2 linked regions of the Danio rerio genome follow. The protein of the gene in region 1 interacts with the protein of each later gene in a pairwise test. Links are inferred from orthologs where the notes say so. Each region holds a gene or a part of one and is shown on either strand. Other genes may lie near its edges. The genes, in order: efhc2 and edc3.

Region 1 (11,675 bases):
AAGCCTTACAGATGATCCGGGCCTCTTTAGACGAGAGCTGGCCACATCTACAAAGACAAATGAGTGGACAAAAAGAGAAATGAGTCAGGGTTATTATAGTAACTAAAGATAAAATCACTTTTGTTTTACTTTAAATAAAATGAAAAATGTTTTTATATATATTTTATATTTCTCTTGATCTTTAAAATTTGTATTTAATATTTTTCTTTAACATATAAATTTGGGTTTAGTCATTTTTGTACCTCTAATGTAAGATATTTTGTTAGATTAGCCCCAGATTTGGCTTCATTAATTTTACTTCGGCTTAAGTAACTATTTTAGAGGTCGCCACAGCTGAATGAACCACTAACTATTCCAGCCACAACCCTTTCATACTTATTCAAACACACTAATACACTACGACCAATTTAGTGTAATAAATTTAGTTACAGCACATGTCTCTGGACTGTGGTGAAAACCGGAGTACCAACACGAGGAGCCCCCACGTGTAACCCACCGGTCCTACTGCACCCAACCCGGTCCAAGCTGGGATCGAACCAGCGATTCTTTGCATAGGAGTGTGTTGCTCTAACAAGGATGCTAAAGACCATAGCCTATAGCCTTTGTCACTAGATTAGAGGAGTGAGGTTTACCTGCATAGCACATCGCTAGCTGGCCTCCGTTACACTCACTCCCCTAAACCTCATTCATATCCCAGATGAGCCCCCATGTGTAACCTACCAATCCTACTGCACCCAACCCAGTCTGAGCTGGGATTAAACCAGCAATTCTTTGCATGGGAGTTGGTTGCTCTAACAAGGAGGCTAAAGAGCATGGCCTCTAGTGTCTGTCACTAGAGAACCTTCAGAGGTCAGAGGAGTGAGGTTTACCTGCATAGCACTTCGCTAGCGGGTCTCCGTTACACTCACACCACTAAACCTCAATCCCATTTCGGACGAGCCCCCATGTGTAACTCATAGGTCCTACTGGACCAAACCCAGTCTGAACAGGCATCGAATTGGTGTCAGAGGAGGTGAGTGAGGTCAGAGGAGTGAGGTCGCTAGTTGGCCTCTGTTACATAATGTTATTATAGACCATTTCAATGTAATCATGTCATTGGCCCATGAACATTTCCTGTTTGTTATCAAACTAGTTCATAACTGTAACAGCAAGCAATTCAATCATAACTCAATTTTAAAACAGCTTTTCATTTATTCATTTTCTTTTCAGGTTAGTCCCTTAATTATTCCAGGGTCACCACAGCAGAATGACCTGCCAAATTATCCAGCATATGTTTTACGCAGCGGATTCCTTTCCAGCTGCAACCCATCACTGGGAAACATCCATACACTCTCATTCACACACATACACTTCAGACAATTCAGCTTACACAATTCACCTATAGTGCATGTCTTTGGACTGTGGGGAAAACCGGAGCACCCGGAGGAAACCCACGCGAACACGGCGAACATACAAACTCCACACAGAAATGCCAACTGACCTATAAAACAGCTATCATAACATTATTCATAAATATGTGGCTCATTTTGGATTTTAGGAAAATATAGAAACGTTGGGACCATTGTTTTTGTTTACATCCCTCAAAATGGTCTATACAAAGAAAATGACAAACTTTCCATTAAAACAAACATGTATTGTAATTTATTAGAAACATTTTACTCTAATGTTGAATGTTTCCCATTTTATTTTATCTTGCATTAAAGCTAAATTAAACTAATAATTATATTTCATAATTCATTTGTTAATTAAAAATAAAACTAAAAATATTTAAAGCTCATAGAAACTAATAAAATGACTAACTTAAACTAAAAAAATAAAGCACAAAAAAACTATTTCGAAGATCATTTTTGTTTACTTTTAATTAAATAAACTAGAATATATTTAATTTTTTGTTTCTCTTAAAACTATAACAAAAAAGAAAATAATAAATCAGTAAAGAAATATTAATACAAAAACAAATAAAAAGATGAGTAAAACTGGAATGAGTACAACCAGCTTTACATTTACAAAATTACATTTAAAAATAAAATAATTAAACCAAAAAATATTAAAATAAAAAATAATAAAAACAAAATGACTTGAACTTTAACTTAAAAACTCAAGATAAAAAACTAATTCAAATTCAAACGATAATCGAAACATTTAACAGCACATTAATTCAGTTAATCAATTAAATATAACAGCAAAACTGAATCTGAGCAGTCAGTATTCAGTTTCACATTATCATTTTTTGTATAAGATAATTAAATGAATTAAAGGTTAAAAAGCAAAAAGCTATTTAAAACAATTAACCATTATTAACTATTTCAATCTTTACTGTCTTCATAAAGTAAATAAATGTATTACTGACCCCAAACTTCTCCACATCATAAACCATATAAATACATTTCTGATTCACAAATAGTCACGCAGTTTACAGTCTTCCAACGCAGTTTGGACCTGCACACATTCCAGCTTGGTTATTTTCCGGACATATTGAACATCGTAAAATAAGTCGACTTTCCACAGGGCCACATAAACAGGACAAGCACGTTGACCTGTCGGCTTTCTTCCTCATCCATTTCCCCTGCCTGCAACAAGCCACAGGTCTTCATCTGTTTCCAATGCTTCAGTTGAGCCGCTGGAACTAATCGCACCCCCTCAATCTAAAGCAGATTGATGCTTATTCTGCCTCTGCGTGATTGTTAAGGGTGACTGTGTAACTCTGAAGAACTGTGAGTTTGTGTCCCTGAAGAACGTGTGACATGCTTTCGTGGTTTTGCATGATGGCATGTTTATGTCAGTGTTGATTTTATACATGATTTTATGCATGCGGTCATATTGAAGATGAAGTATAGAATGGAACACAGATAGTATTTCATTTCATTAGATTAAATATTTAAATGCAGTGACTTCCAAAAAAATTAGACAATATAAAAATAATACATATTTTCTTAGCTCATTGATACAAATGTGATAAAAGATACATTTTAATTTTATAAAATGCTAAGAACTGGTTTAATCACAAATAAAAATAAGTTTGTTTTCATTTCATATGCAGTTGAAGAATTATTAGCCCCCCTGAATTATTAGTCCCTGTTTATTTTTTTCCCAATTTCTGTTTAACGGAGAGAAGATTTTTTTAATACATTTCCAAACATAATAGTTTTAATAACTCATTTCTAATAACAGATTTATTTTATCTTTGCCATAATGACAGAACATAATATGTGACTAGAAAATTTTCAAGACACTACTATACAGCTTAAAGTGACATTTAAAGGCTTAATTGGGTAAAATAGGCAGGTTATGGTAATTAGGCAAGTTATTGTATAACAATGGTTTGTTCTGTAGACTATCGAAAAAAAATATAGCTTAAAGGGGCTAATAATTTTAACCGTAAAATGTTTTTTTTTATTGCTTTTATTCTAGCCGATATTATATAAATAAGAATTTCCAGAAGAAAAAAAATATTATCAGACATACTCTGAAAATTTCCTTGCTCTTTTAAACATATATTGGGAAATATTTCAAAAAGAAATTCAAAGGGGGGCTAATAATTCTGACTTCAGCTGTATAAGTGTGTACTATGTATATTTATTATGTATATATAAATACACACATACAGGCATATGTTTGCGAAAATGTTTATTTATATTTAGATATGAATAATGCATGTATATAATACACATTATATTATAAATATATAAATATGTTTAGTATAGTTAGGATTTTATTTATTTATGTGTATATCACATATACACATATACATATCACATATACATAATACACATATTTAATTTATGCATAAATTATGTCAAAACTAACTTTTCTTTTGGATGCAATTAATTGTAATTAATCTTTGCCCCACACTTTGCTTATTTAAAATTAATTAGAATGTATCTTTGATTGAAATTGTATTAATAAGCTAAAAAATGTATGTATTATTTTCAATGATCAAACTATACCTGTCCCGGTCCTCATGTGTGAAAGCTTGGATCATTTCTGAGAACTTCTCAAAGTTTTTCTTCTTCAGATGATCCTGAGCCACAGCAAGCATGAGACCCACGTTCACCTCTGGCTGCTGCCGCACCGAATAAACACGACCCAGTGTCATGATCTCATGTTCGGACAACTCCACGTCCAAATCTGCCAACAGAGTCCTGGAAACCACACAGACATTTACTCAATCACTGTCTCAAACTGAAGAGGTAACCCACAGCTTTTTCTGTGACAAAACAGTGATATGTTTGTTAAATTAAAAAAGTAAATAATTGGCAGCTATTACATTATTTAAATTGTATTTGAATAACATTTCTAATTACTATGTCTGATAAGTAATTTAATTACTAAATAAAGAATTAAATGACTGAATAAAAAAAACTCAATTCATATAGAATAAAAATAACTTCATTCTTTTCGCTTAATAAAAACATGAAAGGCTTAAGCATTTTAATAAAAAGCATCACATTCTTTAGTAATCAGAATTACAAAAGTATTTCGAATTGTTTCAGACATCTGCTTTCATAGAGTACACGCAATATATTTTATTAACATTTTAATTGTTTCTTCAGCATGTGTAATTGTCTGACAAATGTAGCTTTCTATAGCTGAAAAATAATTATTTTTTACAAAATACCTAAATAGGGAAAATTTGAAAATTGAAATTTGTAAAAATAAAAAAATAAATAAAAAAATTGGAATATGTATTATTCTGCTTTTCTGAATTTATATATTTTCCTGAACTGTTTTCTGACTCAAATCAGTGTTTTTTAAGAATGCAGCTGTATTAATAAGCATAACCTTTAGTTTAAAATATAATTAATATGCAAAATCTATTAATATAGCAAAATACAAATAATCTGCTTTTCTGAACTGACTTACAGAACTCCTGAATGTACAGTTAAAGTCAGAATTATTAGCCCCATTTTGAATTTTGTTTCTTTTAAAATATTTCCCAAATTATGTTTAACACAGCAAGTAAATTTTCACAGTAGGCCTGATAATATTTTTTCTGCTCGAATAAAAGCAGTTTAAATTTGTTATGAACCATTTTAGGGTCAAAATTACTAGCCCCTTTAAGCTATATATTTTTCTATAGTCTACAGAACAAACCATTATACCACATCAAATCCAGTTCCTAGAGGGCCGCAGCTTTGCACATTTTAGTGCCAATCCTTAATCAAACACCTGATCAAACTAACTGAGTCCTTTAGGCTTGATTAAAACCTATACAGGTAAGTGTGTTGAAGCAAAGTTGGAATTAAATTATGCATGGCTGCGGCCTTCCAAGAACTGGATTTGACACCTCTGCATTATACAATAACTTGCCTAATTACTGTAACCTGCCTAGTTTATCTAATTAACTTAGTTAAGCTTTTAAATGTCACTTTAAGCTGTATGGAAGTGTCTTGAAAGATATCTAGTAAAATATTTAATGTCATCATGACAAAGATAAAATAAATCAGTAATTAGAGATCAGTTACTAAAACTATTATGTTAAGAAATGTGTTAAAAAATCATCCCTCTATTGAACAGAAATTGGGGAAAAAATAAACAGGGGGGCTAATAATTCAGGGGGTTTAATAATTCTGACTTCAACTGTATATGCATGTGTCTTTGAAACATTACATGACAGTGATTAAAGGGATAGTACACCAAAAACTGAATTATTGCTAATAATTCTGACTTCAACTGTATTTTCAGTATTTACTAAACTATATAAGTTTTCCGGTGATGGGTTGCAGCTGGAAGGGCATCAGCTGCGTAAAACACATGCTGGATAAATTGGTGGTTCAGTCCGCTGAGGCGACCCCTGATTAATAAAGGGACTAAGCCGAACAGAAAATTAATTAATGAATGAATACTGCAAGTAACTAATTAAATCACCTAATTCGTTACTGTAGTTTTTCAGTGACGAGTTAATTTTTAAGTAATTTAATTAAAGCAACTTGTTGTTTTGTAACTTAAAATACCCAGTAGTAATGTATTAACTATAGAGTTCACTTATTTCTAAACATAATCCATGCTTAACCTGGCATGACTTGTCCTTGATTTTTCCTGTCAGTTCTGTTCAGAGTTTTCACGTGATGTCACATCCCATTAACACCCACCTAGATCACAAAAACAAGGCTTTTTCTGCATTTCATTTTACCAGCTTTGTACTTAAAGCTTATGTAGTAATGATGTAATGTAGTAATGAAAGTGTTTACATTAGTAATTTGGTTCTGTTTGGTCAGTGCAATTAGCATTCAATTGCTCATTGTGTTTTTATCAGTTCATAGCTTGAGAAAAGCTTATAAAACATGTTAGACCAACTGAACTTGTCACATTTTATTGCTCTTAATTTCTATCTCTATTTTCTGAGTGTTAATATCCCTGTCCTCTATACATCAATCATGTCAACCCGTTTTACACTGTTTGCTGGTTTTAGTGCTTTAAATCTGACAGCGGGTACTGTATGTGGATCACAAATGCACAAAACCTGCTGGTCATCTAAATGTTTGCGGCTTAACTCAAATGTAATCTCAACATTTTTTCCCTGCAGGTCTGTTGCACCAACCCCTTTAAAGAAAACTTCTGCAAATAACATTGCCCATAATTAAATCTCACAATCAGTGAAACTGATCCAGAATCTCACTCGGTATATCTATATAATATATGGCAGGCGGGAACAAGATGTAATGTGTCTTTTATTTGTGTATTTTTGGCCAGCTCCTTACCTGAATGACTCATATGGAAGAGAGCCAGTGCTGCTTGGGTCACTCATGGTGAAAAACTGTTTTACTTTCTTCTGCTGTTCCTCACTGATGGATTTTACCTTGCTAATGATGGTGCCAATGTTGGCCTTGGGGAACTAAATAATTGAGAAAAATAGGTGAAGGACTTTTAATGGAGATTCTATATAGAGACATATATCTTGATATTTTGCTCAGCAACATTAATTAAAACAGGCTGAAAATTGAAGCAACGAGATGGTTTTTGTGTGTTACCTCATCTGCATGCTGCTCCATATAGCTGAATGTAAAATCGTCAGCATCCACCAGCTGGAAAGGTTGACTGTTCAGAAGCAGATGAGCTCCAACATACAAATCCTGAGCAGTGAAATACTCCGACATCTCACTTTTAAACAGCTCCTGTCCTGGCTTCTTCACTCGCCCCCTCTCTAAGAACTTACCCCCGATCACACCTTCATCACAAGAGCAATATAAAAACATACAGTAAAATTGAAATGTTTATTTTCCTAAACTGAATTTATATGAATAGGCTGACAATACCTGAGTTTCTCTGTGGAGGTTCAAAGACAGCTATTGTGTCATCAGTAAGGTAGAAGCATATGATAAAAACACGTTCCTTGTCGACAGGACTGTCTGTCAGCATTTTCCCCACAAATCTCAGCACGTTGCTCACCAGACCTTGCCTTACATTGAGAACAATAACTGGCATAAGATCATTACGAGTAAACATAATGAAATTAAATGATTCATTACGTTTATTGGATTTTTTTCAGGGCCATGTTGGAGAATATTTCGCCTATTGCACAGTTTGTTTGAGCTGATTAGCAGATCTCATTCAAATGTTCTTATTTTATTATCTAATAATGTGAACATTAGGAGATTTAGACATTCAATAAAGGGTAAGTTCACCCAAAAATGAAAAATATTTATTCGTGCATATAATTTCGTTTTTTTATCAAATCAAATTGACCTCCATGAAGTTGGCACCCCATAAAAACAAATAATCCCCAAAACTATGCCATTCGTTTGTGCTATATTTGTGCAAGAATTAATGTTTGTGTTGGTTTGGGGTCTGAGATATTAATCATTATTTCTTTTGACCGTTCAATGTCACTTTCCACCCCATCTTGCTCAAATCACTTCAAATCAGCACAGGTTGTTTGTGCTGGATTTGTGCCGTTAAAACAAACACTATATCTGTTTGTCTCGTTTAGATATAAACAATATTTCGGGAGCCGTGGCATCACTCTCCACCCCATTTTCTCGAAATCACACCAAACTAGTGTCATTCGTTTGTGCCTGATTTGTGCTGGTTTGTGCTGTTATAACAAACATTTTAGTGCCATCAGCTGGACAGGACTGCGTTTTTCTGTCTCTTGAGTGTGAAGTTGAAATAAAAGCAGAAACAGGGAGGAAAGACAGACAAAACACAGTCCTGTCCATCTGATGGTGCTAATGCACCAAAACATGCACCTCAAAAATGAAGAAGATGATAGAGGATGCTGGCTGGAAGTTACACAAAATGGTTTTTAAAGTATGGATATTTTTCTCACAAAAATTAGTGGATTCAGTAAAGGAGACCTTTATTCACCTCCCAGAACACCGTGTGGGACTTTATTTTATTATGGATAGATGCACTTTAGTAGACTACTGATAATAATCAGCCAAATATGGCCATTGTAGTCCTGGAAAAGTCCAGTATAGTTTTTTTTAAATAACTCAGATTGGATTTGTCTAAAAGAAGTCAATCATATAAACTAGGGCTGTGCGATTAATTAAAATCATATCGAAATCGAGATTTGGACATGCGTGATTTCTAAATCGCCTTACAGCTCAATCTTCCTGCAGTATGGAATTTGACCCAGTCATAACGCGTGTAAACACCAGACTGAATAGCCTGTGTATACAGCAGGGATGTCCAAACTCAGTCCTGGAGGGTCGGTGTCTTGGAGAGTTTAGCTCCAACCCTAATCAAACACACCTTAGCCAGCTAATCAAGCTCTTACTAGGAATACTAAAAACTTCCTGCCAGGTGTGTTGAAGCAAGTTAGAGCTAAACTCAGCAGGACACTGACCCTCCAGGACTGAGTTTGTACACCCCTGGTAGACAGGGATTATAATTTCAGCACAGGGCGACTTGGTGTCAAAAAAAGTCAACATCTGTAGTTTTGGATTAAGTTACTTTGGATACAGGAAGGCTGATGTATGGCAGAACCAGGTAATTTGTAAGTCGAAAAGCGTGTGCACACAATCCACACACCTCCATGGGAAATAGTGTACTTGTGCAATCAAAAGACGCAAAATGTGAACGGCCTATTTCATGGCAGCATCACAAAGAGGTCAATGATCTATGCATGACAAAACAAATCTGTGAATACACGCACAACTACTTCTAAAATCTGGTCAGGCAGAACATCGGTGCCTTATGCCAAGTTCAGACTACATGATTTTCACATTGCATGACTACCTAGGTTAGCAATTCTGTCATTGCTGAAATGTACTTATTTTGCTCACATGGCTTTTGAAGGGAATTAGCAATTTCTCCTCAACTTTTTTCTGGTTGTGATATGTGCTCCTGCAAACTTTACACTAGGTTTTCCTCCTTTCTTGGATCCAAATAAACTGAAAATGAGCGCTTTTAATTTCCTTCTCAACCTCCCACTGGCCGGCAGATACCCATACAAGTGGATGCTGCTCTTACATTGGCAGTAGGTAATCGGCGATGTTATTTTTGATCAGAACACACTTCACACGGCAGGATTTGAATCGCAGACAGCTGCAGATATTTAGCATTCCAACTATCTCAAGGGTGTCTGCAACTCATCGGCAATTCTCTCAGATTGCATCTTTGATAGTTCACACTGTGTGACTGTTACTTGCATGAACAAGCACTTATTTGACTGTAATTTGAGGCATTTGTCGCTAAAATGATGCAGTCTGAACACGGCATTACTTGAGTTTGATGATGCGCACTCTCACATACACGTTTTGCCATAGGTCTGTTCTTGAGACACTTTTCTTCAGCCTTACTAGGTCATTTTTGCTTTATTTATGCCTGTTTTAGAGACATGTTACAGGTCTTTGATAAAGATCAAAACGTTCTTCTTTTGAAATGTTTCAGATTCACACTAAACACAGATTAAGTCTGTCATAAAATCGAAATCACAATATTGTTGATATTGAAAATCTTAATATGTTTCTTTTGCCATATTGCACAGCCCTAATATACACCTATAATGCCCATTGGGGTGAGTAAATCATGGGATCATTTTCATTTTTTGGTGACCTCCCTTTTTTGGGTGAATCCCTTTAAGCTGTTTGTATCACTCACAGCCTATCACCATCTGTTTTGAAATTACTTGCATGCAACATTTTTGTGCCAAGTATTCTTATATGCTTACTATATTAACAGACCTCTACTTTACTAGAAAGTTCTCTTTCAGAAAGACATGTCCTCTTTCCATCTTACAGTGACTGTTCTTTAAATATTTAGTTCACTAGGCCGAGAGGACCATTCAGGAAGTTTCCTTGCTTATTCACTGTGGCTTTACTCCGGTCACTTATCTGCTTTGAGTTTACCATCTTTAAAACAATCCTTTATTTAGCAGAGCCTTCTTGTTCCCTTCAACCCCTATGCCTGCCAATGTCTAACGCAGTATTGTCCAAAGCAAATTGAGCGAGTGAATAATTTGCCGTGTGATACTGGTTCTGGGATTATATTTGGAAGCAAAGCTCTGTGAAAACTATGTATAATAATAAACCGACTTGCAAAAGCGTGTTTTACATCAGAAGTATCATGAGATTGCATTTAAGCCTTTGATTATTTATAAAGGGCATGTGTTCATCCACTTCCAAGTGCAAAGAGCTGCACTTAACTAAAAGATGATTTTAGTGGGATTGACAAGGGTCTAAACTCTTCTGTCAGAATGATCAGAAAGCCAGTATGGGTCTGACATGTTGTTTTGATATAATATTAATGGTTTGAAATGAGCGGGAAGCATCCTGTGGGAGATTAATAGTGCTGGCTACCTGTCTTTCTCCATAAGCTTCTTGAAATCCTTCTGTGGGGGTTTAGGCAGCAAACCCTGGCAAGAACACAGTGAATCCTCCTCAGATCCAAATCCAGTGTAGGGTGGCACCTGCTTAGCTGGTTTAGGTGGAGGTGAGGCCTTGTATGAGATAGATGGGAAGTCCTCTGTGAAATGGGAGACATGTTGTCATCTACACTTGGCATTTAAAAACATCTCTTTAATACAATTTCTACCACTTTCTCACACAAACAGTCAGTAAAACACACATCAATGTCCAGAGTCAGAACAATGGCAAGTCCAACAAGTTCAAAGATAGCGTTTGCCAACTGGAAATATAAGCACTACTTTTCCCTTGTTAAGGTGAAAGGCAGGAATGTTTATATATGCCCAGGAAAAACAGTGTCTCTGCATCGTTGACAAGTAATTATAATCTAAAGAGGAGACAAAGACACAACGCCAAATAAAACTTAATTTTTCTCCACTTCAAACACTCAGAAAGAATTAAACAAAAAATATCTGGAGATATAGTTAAGGACATGCTACCATTGTCTCTCACATTGTCCCACAACAACATTTAGGGTAGATTAGAGTACAGGGTTTTAAATTTATTTTATAGTCATTTGACAAATTTGGAAATTTTTTGGCACATTTGCTATTAACTAGGTGCAATGGTGAAAACGGAATGCTTCACTAGTGAGGAAATGTATCTTCTCCTGCACAATGTTAAACTGGGCGGCCATCTATGTAATGAGCTGAATTCCACCTAAGCCCTCTGAGGTGAAGGTTTGGAAAGAGGTAGCTAATTTTATATTTATGTAGAAAATAATAATGTTTTATATTTTAATCCTTTAATCTTGCATATTAAAGATATTTGTGTGCTGCTGTGCATACCTGTGTGGATAATAAGCAAAGTGGACTTACAATTTGG
Region 2 (11,675 bases), on another chromosome or scaffold:
CAGGTGAATTAGGTAGGCTAAATTGCCTGTAATGTATGAGTGTGAATGCGAGTGTATGGATGTTTCTCAGAGATGGGTTGCAGCTTTAAGGGCATCCACTGCGTAAAACATGTGCTGGATAAGTTGGCGGTTCATTCCGATGTGGCGATCCTGGATAAATAAAGGGACTAAGCCGAAAAGAAAATGAATAAATTTATTCCAGTGATTTTAAAGATGAATGTTCACCTTCATTACTCTATTGTTCAGAGTCACACGATCCTTCAGAAATCACTGTTATATTAATTAGCATTATTACCATTATTACCATTATTATTATTATTATTAATGTTAATAGTAATAAAAGCAATAATGACTGGAGTATTAATTTCATTTAAAACTACATACAAGAAAGCAGTTTTTAAATTTTTTTACAAACATTTTACAATTTGACAATTGTTTTTATACGTAATAAATGCTGCCTTGGTGAACAGAATTATTTTATAAAAAAAAAAAAAAAAAAAAAAAAACATGAAATAATTAAAAACAAAAATGCCCCCAAACTTTTGACTGGTAGTGTACCTCCCATCATTTGTCTTTATTCTCTTAAGAAAAACAAAATATGCATCACATGTTTACATAACAATCTAATAGCTGCTCTTGGTAATGTGAAAGGCATTAGAAATGCATAATTTTTAAAAAATATAAAATGGGGAAAAAAAGCCAATTACAATCCTTAGTAATATGAAATATACTGTTGTGCCATGACTATATTACTCTGTCATTATAGGATACGTAGGTGCCTTTTACACTGGTGCATTTTGGTTTAAAATGTATCGGCTTTGTTATAGTTACATCAAGCGTCTACACTAGATGGACTGAAATGCAAACTTTTGAATACAGAGGCGCAGCTATCCACAATCACTCCCTGACTGGTTCTCTTGCCTTGTGTATCGTTCTCTGATTCATCACGCTCCTCTCATATGACCAATACAAAACAAGCAAGGATGTCGGTGAACTATTTGCATGCTCAGTGAGTGTGAATGGTCACAAATCATGTACTGTATGCTGTAAAGTGTGGAGGGATACTAAAACATAGTAAAAAAGACAATATGGATAAAGAGTTTAAAGCGGTTTTAAAATAAAAATACAATAGTGTAAATGCAGCCTCACTAACCCTAATGTTTTGTACATCACGATAAATTTTCTAAAATGTTTCTGACATTTAACCATAATTAAACATCTAAAACTTATTTTATATATCAGTACTTTTCAAATAATGTAGTTAATAAATGCAGTTGCATAAGTGGCACACCTTTCACATTAGAAACCAGTCTGCCTCCCGTCTTTCCGAATAGTGCTAGTTCACTGGTGATGGCCTCCAACATCTTGACAAAATTTGGCAGGAAAAGGACGACCTCTACTTCATGGTTGGCCAAGTGACGTCCACAGCTGATTCCCTGAGCTCCCTGGACATGAGGGCCACACAGCAGGGCTACCGTGGGTCGTTGATGCACATTCTTTGGGGTAAGTCTAAGAGAAGAACCAGACTGATGAAAACCAGAGCATACATATGGGTCAATCTGTGTCATCTTAAACACAGGTTATTGACTACATTTATTTATTTATGTTTAATGCCATATCAGCAGCATTGGCAAAACCTTCTTACACAGTTTTTTTTCTCCTTCAATAAATATAAGTGTAAGTCTTGAATGACCAGTTCTACATATGTACAACTATATATATATATATATATATATATATATATATATATATATATATATATATATATATATATATATATATATACACACATATATATATATATACACATATATATATATATACACATATATATATATATATATATATATATATATACACATATATATATATATATATATATATATATATATATATATATATATATATATATATATATATATACACACACACACATATATATATATATATATATATATATATATATATATATATATATATATATATATATATATATATATATATATATACACACACACATATATATATATATATATATATATATACACACACACATATATATATATATATATATATATATATATATATATATATATATATATATATATACACACACACACACACATATATATATACACACATATATATACACACACACACAACCTGATCATGTCTATTTTCAAAATGGTAATTATTTTGTTCATTTACAAATAGATTAACTTTGTATAAATTTTTAATTCTACTATCATCCCATTCCATTTGCCATTTCTCACTAATATTCAGATTCAATGCAGGTTTAACAGGAATTTTACATTTTGTTATCTCCAACTGCAGGGCTTCCTTAGCTGCTTGTAAAGTTGGGTGTATCTCAATAAACAGTAACACGTTACTGTATTCTAACTACGTTTTTTGGGAATGCAGTAATGTAACGCATTACATTTTTAATCTGTGTAATTACAGTTACTTAAGTCGATGTAATTGCGTTTTAAATACAGTTTTTAGAAGAAAAAAATGCTTATTTTAAATCCCGTTTTCTGCTGCAACGTCAGTTAATAAGCATGCGCTTTTAAACTGCTCTAGAACGCAAGCTGAAACAGCTGTTGAGGAGGATGGTTGCTTCCTCAAGTGGAAACACAGACATTATATTGGTTTCATTGAGTGTAAAAAAAAAACAATGAAATGAAGTCTATGTCCAGCCTCTAAAGAACTTTCAACTGCTTTTTTTCTAGACCAGCAACTTGTTCAAGCACTTGAATGGAAAGCATTCTAGGACAATATTAGTCACCAAACAGAACACCAGCACCCAAAAACACGGTGGTTCAACTAAACAGGCAAACTTGGATTTTTGTACAGGATCGGCAGTGAAGGTATCTTCTGAATGTAAAGAGAAAAGCTGTGAAGCTGCCCTTTACATATCACGTCTTTTGGATGTGCGAGTTTGTTAATTCCAATCGAGTCGCAAAAATTGCGCGCATATTGGGAGTGCTTTTGCACGCACTCGCATGTAACTTGCGCACCCAATAAAACTGAGAGTCTTATGACAAGAACTGACCGGTCATCTTCATACTTTGTATGGAATATACACATATAGATAGACTAATTACCTCAGACAAACACAGAACACCCAGACACTGCAGTGCTTTTTCATATTATGGATTTCAATCGTTACAGGTATTCAGTTTTGATCTAAATGGTTTTTATGTTATCAGAGGTTTGAAGCAAGTGAATGATAAGAGAATTGAAAGTTTTGGGCGAACTCTTTAAGTTTTTGAATATGTCAAGCTGCAGTGATCAACCCATTTTAATGTTTTTCAGTGAATATTATTTTACTAAAAGAGCTGCAGTTTATTTTGTATTTTGAAAGGTATATTTAATGTGTTTTAAAAGTAACTACGAAGTAAAGTAAAAAGTAATCTGATTACTTTTTACATTAAGTAATTAGTAATGTAATCAGATAACAATTTTTCAGTAGTAATCAGCAATTTGGAATCTACAACAACTTACCCAACATTGGCTGCTTTGGTTCTTGACTAAAAATGAAAATAAAAACAATATTCTGCATAAAAACAACAACTTCCTATGCCTCTTCATGTTGAACTGCTTAATGCCTCACTAGTAAGTTGCTTTGGACAAAAATGTCTGCTAAATGGGTGAATGTGAATGTCAATCAATATTATATCAATATTATATTTGTAAATTGCAATGCACAGATGTTCAGCATTCTTGCTTATGTGATGTGACTTAGCTATATCACATCTTAAAAATATAAACTTATTTGTATTTAATAAATTTTTTTTTGCTTTCAAATATTGAATCATGGGGCTATTCTAACATTACAATATGCCTAATCATGCAGTGAATGCTTTTGCACTCTCAAGATGGGATTTTTCTATTTCAAAGTCAGAGACATGTGACAGGAATGTTATTTAGAGAATTGTTTTCATAACAGCCATACGGTTATATTATTCTAAACAGACAGAGCTCACATTTCTCTTTATGTTTCATTCTTACAACTTCTAATACAAATTTTAAACAGGTCATAAAACAGCTGGAATCTTAAGATCCTAATTTATGGTTTTTGTCATGTTAATTACCTTCTTTTAAATTACAACTATCAGGAAATGTAAACCAGTGCAAACAAAGAATGCTTCAGGACATCTGTAATTTGGTTTATTTGACACAAAATGACATTCTTTTTTGTTTAGGCCTCACAAACCTGTTTGGTCCTCCAAGTAGCGTGAGGGCCATCTGACTCGCACATACACCCGTCATCTCAAGCCTGCGCTCCAGAGAGAGACCGTGACTTTCTGCTGCAGCTAACAAACGCTTGTGCAACTCGAAGGAGATGCTGGGTACCACAAGACCTGAATCTAGGGAGGAAATAAATGGCATGAATTCTGATATTTGAAGACAATATACCAATATAGCTATTTAACTAATGCGCAAAGTCAACTTTGCCAAAAAAACGTCACTAATTGAAAGCACTAAATCAAACATGATCACAAACCAACAGGAGTTCAAGCCCTTTCTGATATCTCCACTATAGTAACTACACACCTTACTGCTTATTGACTGCAAGTGTGTTTTGAGACAATTTGTTCAAAAGTATTGTTAACATTTTAGTAGCGGATAAAGCGGATTTTAAGTAAAGGATTTTGTTTTGTTGTTGTATTTGTTTTTATTCATATTATGTATTTTTAAGTTTTATTATTAATTTTCTTCCTTGAGTGGACTTTGTCTTAATTCACAAAACCCATTAAGATACCTTGTGGTAAGGTATGAATCTAAATATTCCTTAAAACTATTAATTTTCTACATTTGAATGTGTTTAGACTTCATAAGGTTTTCATTATTTAATTTGCATAATGTGCATTGTATTTATCTTTGCTTTATGTTTATTATATTTTATGCAGATACACTGCCCTACAAAATCATCCTAATGAACCTAAATGACACTTTCTTTGAAATTAGAGCCATTTAATCCATCTGGTGCAATTGTATTCATATTACATATCGCAGAAAAACTAAATTTTGCAACGCCATTTTTTTCTTATAGTGCAGCTCTGATTCTTACCAGTGCTATATTCTTTTGATCCATTCTGTGGAACTGTGATCTGTCTGTAAACGACAGGTTTGGCCTCAAGGATGTTCTCATCGTGCCGGTATCTGGATGGTGTTTGCTCTCCAGGTGTCCCTCGAGATCTCGCACCGTTTCCTCGCCGTTCTGACGATTCGATTTGCGAGAACACCGCAGCCTTGTCGAACAGCGCCAGGTTCCCTTCAAAGTCAAAGTCCTCATCGAGAACATCGTCCATACCATCTCCAAAACATTCATCGTCTTTGTTCTTCATGTGACCGCCATTCTTGAGTCCGTTCTTTTTCGGTGTGGCCTGATTTGGACCTCTGCAACTAGACGACCCTGGAAACAAAAATAAAGCGGCCATTTATAACAATCTGAAAACAAATGCAATAAAACCAAGAATTTGCGATTTGCTGATCATCTTTACATTTTGTTTAAGTGACAAAAGTCTAAAGAAACAGATTTTTGTTTTAATGCCTGCTACTGCTACACACTCCAAAAACATTGGGAAAGAGGTAAAATACAAGTTAAAGGGTCACAGAATATCCAAACGAAACATTTTGAAGCAGTCCATAATAAGCAGGTCAATTGGTGATATACATTGCATCTGCAAAGTATTCATAGCGCTTCACTTTTTCCACATTTTTTTATACTATAGCTCAATTCCAAAATGAATTAAATTCATTTATTTTCTCAACATTCTGTACACAATACCTCATAATGACAATGTAAAAAAAGTTTTTGAAATTGTTGCAAATTTATTACAAATAAAAAACCTGAAAAATCAAGTTCAAAACAATTCACACTCAATACTTTGTTGATGCACCTTTGGCAGCAAGTACAGCCTCAAGTCTTTTTGAATATGATGCCACAAGCTTGGCACACCTGTATTTTGGGAATTTTTGCCCTTTTCTCTTTGCAGTACCTCTCAAGCTCTATCAGGCTTGATAGAAAGTGATGGTGTACAGCCATTTTAAGATCTCTCCAGAGATGTTCAACAGGATTGGGCTCTGGCTGGGTCACTCAAGGACAGTCACAGAGTTGTTGTAAAGCCAATCCATTGATATTTTGGCAGTGTGCATACATGAATACTTTACGGATGCACTGCATTAAGGCTACATGTTGGGTATAAAATAAGCATCTCAGTATTTGCAAGTAAAGCAGGATCATGGATCATCACTTAGTGCCAAAAGCCATGTGAGAATTTCCAAACAAAACCAAAATCACATTTATCAATGCAAAATCACAGCCAATTTTAGTCAACTGCCACATTTAATGTTGTGAAAACATTGAGTAAATACAAATAAATCTCAATCAGTGTGGAGCAATGCAGGAACCCACAGCTGAATGTGCTCAAGCTTAGAGCCTCAGATTGCACTGCATATAAAAAAAAACTGTCATGTTGTGCTGTTAAATAAAGCTTAGTGGAACTTCAGAAACATCTCTGCAACTGCTGCATCTAGAAATGCTACTTGACTTGTTGTTTATGCTGAAAGCAGTATAGAAAACCAGAGCGGATTTCAGATAATCAAAAATACAATCTCAACTTAGAGACTGGAATCTCAAACGTCTGTTTTTTTCCAGAAACAAGCTTAAAATATGGACTTGTCTGCAAATGTAAAAGTAATTCATGGTTCAGGAATCAGCAAAGAAATGTGCGCAAAAGAACCATTCACATGGAGACATATATTGGTAGAATATCATATACCATATATGACCATAGTCATATACCATCATCAGGATAATGTTTTTCATGGTAAGTGTATGGTTATTAGATCAAGTCTCATCCTGGTTCACTGTGCTACAAACAGTGTGGTTTGGCTGGCCTCCCTGATGTCCAGATCAAAAATAAGTAATCATGAAAAGGAAAAACAGATAATGACAACAACTGACTGTTAAGCATCTCAAGTTTTATATTATGGCAGATTGGGCAAAAATAAGGGCTGGGCAATTTTGCCTAAAATCAAAATCTTGATTAATTTAACATTTTTAATTGGATTACGAATATTTTCTATATTTATTTTGTTTTTTTGACCCCATAGTTCAATGACAGGTTTTGCACAGTAAATATGCTCACATCTTACAACTGACAAATTTTTGAATGTAGAGTGGATTACTTAATTTTAAAATTATAACACAGAGAAGCGAAACACACACTATCTATATATAATCTAATATCTATGATTATTTATTGAACATCAACACTGAACAACTAATAATAAAACACACATTGCCTAAAATGTGCCATCCACCCTTGTCACCACTACCAAAACGACCAATCACAAAGCTTGCACTACATATCATTGTATTGTGTAGCTACATTTTTTGAAAGGTGGTGGGCATGCGAAGGCTGCACCAGACTGTATGCATGTCAGAAGTATGATATAAAAAAGTAGAAAATAGCCTTAACAAAGCGAGGTCACTTGACTCCACAAGTGGTAGGTAAAGTAATTGAAAAATGTACCTGGAAATTGTAGGTTCTGATTGTCGATTTCGATTACTTTTTGATTAATCGCCCAGCCCTAGCAAAACCTTTTGCTTGTAAAACTTGGAGTGTGTTGCAGGCATTGAAATCAAAATTAGCTTATATTTCCAGAATATAACTCATTTGCTCTCTGAAATTATTAGAAATCTTTTCTAAGTACATTTTGTCAATTAAATAACAGTTAAAGATAATAAGCAAATCACATATTCTTGATTTTATAGCATTTTTAAAAATGTCTCAACTTTTCTGGAATTTGAGTTGTAGTTTATAGAGAAAAAATGTGTTAGAGGAAAAAAATATAACTTACATTACCAGTTAAAGGGCACATAGTTTACCCCATTTTATGATTTAATATCAGTATTAAGGTTCTTCTGAGTGTGCCAGTTTAGGTTCAGTTCAACACACAGTTCAGATTTCTTTATTATAATGTGTTAAAAAGTGTCATGTTGGGGGCGTGTACACAGCTCGCTGTTTTAGGGGCGTGTTGCTTCACATGAAAATTAGTTTCGGCTTCCCGCCCAATGTAACAAGGGGGCGGAGCCAAGAGCTCACCAGCTCTGTGTTTGCAACAGACAGGCAGACAGAGAAGGTAAGCTACATGAGAGGATCAGCATTCAGCTGTACATGTAAGACTCGGACACAGACCAAGCAGAGAGTACAAAATCTCTTTGTAAAGAGTCTTTGTATAGTTTTACAGCCAACTGTGAATTAGTTTTAAGTGCCGAGCTTGTACACCTAGACTAATAACCACGCATACTGAATTAACTTAGACTGAGGCACCGGATGTGCAGCTCGAAGCCACGCACGGCACACCAGTGACCCCAACAGAAACCCAGGCCCAGAATTTCAAAATTCATGGCGCTGTGTCAACGTCGCACCACGAAGAGCGGAGCTTCTGATGTGCGACCTGCAGGCAAGTTTGTTATTTTATTTCCAATGGAGAGACACGCACATGAGGCAACGCGCTTGCACTTTTCCAGCTGCACCTAGTTAAGATCACAGGGAGCTTCTGTGAACGCGAGAAATGCAAACGGCTGAAGTTTAAGGTAGACATAATGAAAAGTACACGTCTGCAAACCCACCTAAAAGTACAACCAATAATTCCAATTAGAGCGATAATGTGGAGAACATTGTGTTGAGCCCAATGAGCCTTGCATCTAAAAATAGAGCCAGGATGCTCCTTTAAGATATCGCTTTGACTCGCGCTGAAAATGGCGGATGTGAAACTACAAATGGAGGATTAGGTGACGCGTGCCAGTCAATCAATATTGGTGGGCGGGAGGACCACACTCCTACATCAAGTCGCGGTCGTCTGAAAACCGCTCTAATTGGTCCACCAATTTTATGTTGTTAAATTACAAAAAAAAAGCACTGGGTGTGTTTATATCACCCCAATATGACTGTCTATACACTATACTTACACACATGTCTGTGCAAACAGCTTGAAAAGTAGATTTTTTTTACCATAGGTGCCCTTTAAGACTAATGAAAAAGAATTTCTAATGGCTCTAAAACTGCATTTATTTGATTAGAAATTGTAAAAATGTGATTTAAAAAGGAAATGTTAAAAAAAATGTGTTTACTAGTCACTAGTCTAATTTTCAGTGTCATATTATCCTAAAATTATCCTTCTAATTTTTTTGTTTAGATAAGATCAATTATTATTTGTTTTCAATTACTAATGTTTCTTTTTAATCAATGCTGAAAACTATTTTTACTGCTATTCTAAGGAAAATTCAGGATTCTTTGAATTGCATATCCAAATGAACATTTTATATAAAAAAACGTAAATCCTTTGTTACATTACAATTCTTTACTGTCCCTTATGATATATTTTATGGATCCTTGCTTAAAACAAAGTAATGTTTTTTCTTCTTTTTTTTCTCCATATAAAACCTTCTTGTCCCAAACTACTAAATGAAACTGAATCACAGTTTCCACAAAGCAGCAGCAAAAACAATTGCCACTTTAATAACAAATGTTTCTTAAGCACTAAATAAGATTTCTAAAGGATCACAATCAATTTATTTTTTAATTTGTAAAAAAATCCTAAAGGAGGCAACACCAAAGCTCCAAAAATATCATTTTATTAAATTAAAAAAGGCTCTCACAAAGCATGTGACGTTTTTGATGTGCTTGAAACGTCACACACTTTGTCAGAGCCTTTTTAAGTCAAAACATTTATATTTTTGGAGCTTTGGTGTCACTGCCTTTATGCATTTTTTTAACATATTAAAAATAAAAATGATAGTGATCCTTCAGAAATCATTTAGCACTTTTTGTTTGGCTGAGCACCCATTTAGATTGATGTGCGTGATTTTTTTTTTCAATTAAGTTACAATTTGTAATAGGTCTAATAATATCCCTTAACAATAAATGATCATCTTTTACAATGTTACGGTTTTAACTGTATATTCACTATATAGAATCATATACATAAAGGCTGAAGTTTAACTAAATAGATATACGACTAAGAAGACTCACATGAGTTGTGTCTTCGTCTAAAGCCTTTACCCTGTACAGCCATATCTATGTGACGTTCACCGTAACTCTTGGAATAATGTGGCACTGGCGAAACTCCTCCTTCCTGCAGTCTGGGTTCAGCTTTATTAGGTACCATCACAGGAGCACTGTTCACCGAGGCGCCACCACCACCACCCCCACCCTTGTCCTTGCGTCCAACGTGCGGCATCAAGGTGGTGGAGCTGGACTCTGGACCATTCTGCTTGGAAACTTCAATAGAATTTTTGGAGATCTCTAAAATTTTGAGATCTTTTATGTCCATGGCACTGTGGAGGAAGAAGGAAATATATAGTAAGCGACTTCATGGTACACATAGATTAATTATCCTGTTTTAAGCCGAGTAACATTTCATGTACTGTAGTATATAATGCAACTCACTCAATTGCATCAAGAAATATTTGAAACATGCTTTTGACAACAGTGTCGGACCAACGCCCAAAACACACTTGTAGCCAATCAGCAGTAAGGGGTGTGTCTGGTAACTAATAACCTTTTTTTTAACCAGGTAAGTCAACTAAGATCCAGTTCTCATTTACAATGAAGACCTGACCAAGAGGGAACAGATACAGTACAAAGCAGCAGGAACACAATACAATAACAATTTCACAAATGCAGAAAATAACATATAAAACCAACGAAACAAAAGACAAGCACAGTGATCTTGTAATATTTATTGGAGTTAATTTTTAAAAGATGGTAGTGAAACGAGAGTGCTGAGCTTTAAGGTCTCCTGCAGATGATTCCAAGCATCAGCAGCAGAAAACTGAGAAGAGTTGCGACCAAATGAAGTGCGAACGTTGAGTATGCAAAGGTTAATAAAACTATTAGAGCGCAGATTTCGACATGTTTCCTGAATTTAAGAAGTGACTGTAAATAAATATAGTGGTGTTTTTCCCAATAAGAGTTTTGAAAATTAACAGAAACCAATGAATTTGTTAAATTTGAAGCAAAGAATAATTCAGTAAAGAATACAGCTGACAGTGATGAATATTAAATGGCGCAAGAGTAACAAAACTATTTGCTGCATAGTAAATAACATTCAGTTTAAGAAGAAGAGTTTTTGAAGCTCATCTGTAAATTACATCCCCATAATCCAGAATTGGTAATACTGTTAATTTGAGCTGCTTTGAGGAATGTGTAAAGGAGGATTTGTTTCTGTAAAGAAAAACCAATCCAGGCTTTAACCTTTTACATGCTTTCTGTCAGCTTTTTTTAATTGAATAAATTAGTATTTTTGGAGATTTGGTGTTGCCGCCTTTTATTAATATTTAATTTGCACCTTTTGCGTTTTTTTGGCTGAGCACCCAGTTAAGAGGGATGTGCGTGCTTTTGTACAATTTTTTAAAAAGTAGAAGTACTGACTACACTTTTGTAATCAAGTAAAAGTAAAAAAGTAGCGCCTCAAAAATTTACAAAAGCAAAAAAGTAAAAAGTACCCGTTTCAACCACAGTCCAATGACATGCGGTATAGGTGAATAATAGGTAACTAAACTGGCAGTAATGTATAAGTTTCTCAGTGCTGGGTTGCCGCTGGAAGGGTATCCACTGTGTAAAACATATGCTGGAATAATTGGTGGTTCATTCCGC

The links.
Region 2: the proteins of efhc2 (region 1) and edc3 interact in binary tests that used the Homo sapiens proteins (3 or more experiments, as listed by UniProt). The link is inferred for Danio rerio from reciprocal best matches to the Homo sapiens genes EFHC2 and EDC3.

Annotation. Positions count from the first base shown.
Region 1 is NC_133184.1:35,454,643-35,466,317, forward strand, and holds part of efhc2 (EF-hand domain-containing family member C2), read right to left. Parts: intron 10,912-11,675; coding exon 10,746-10,911; intron 7,400-10,745; coding exon 7,257-7,399; intron 7,169-7,256; coding exon 6,972-7,168; intron 6,836-6,971; coding exon 6,702-6,835; intron 4,143-6,701; coding exon 3,948-4,142; intron 48-3,947; coding exon 1-47. UniProt on the Homo sapiens protein: Microtubule inner protein (MIP) part of the dynein-decorated doublet microtubules (DMTs) in cilia axoneme, which is required for motile cilia beating.
Region 2 is NC_133200.1:21,936,047-21,947,721, forward strand, and holds part of edc3 (enhancer of mRNA-decapping protein 3), read right to left. Parts: intron 10,355-11,675; coding exon 10,080-10,354; coding exon of another isoform or gene 10,050-10,079; intron 5,420-10,049; coding exon 5,075-5,419; intron 4,371-5,074; coding exon 4,217-4,370; exon of another isoform or gene 2,125-4,216; intron 1,713-2,124; exon of another isoform or gene 1,543-1,712; intron 1,510-1,542; coding exon 1,292-1,509; intron 1-1,291. UniProt on the Homo sapiens protein: Binds single-stranded RNA. Involved in the process of mRNA degradation and in the positive regulation of mRNA decapping. May play a role in spermiogenesis and oogenesis.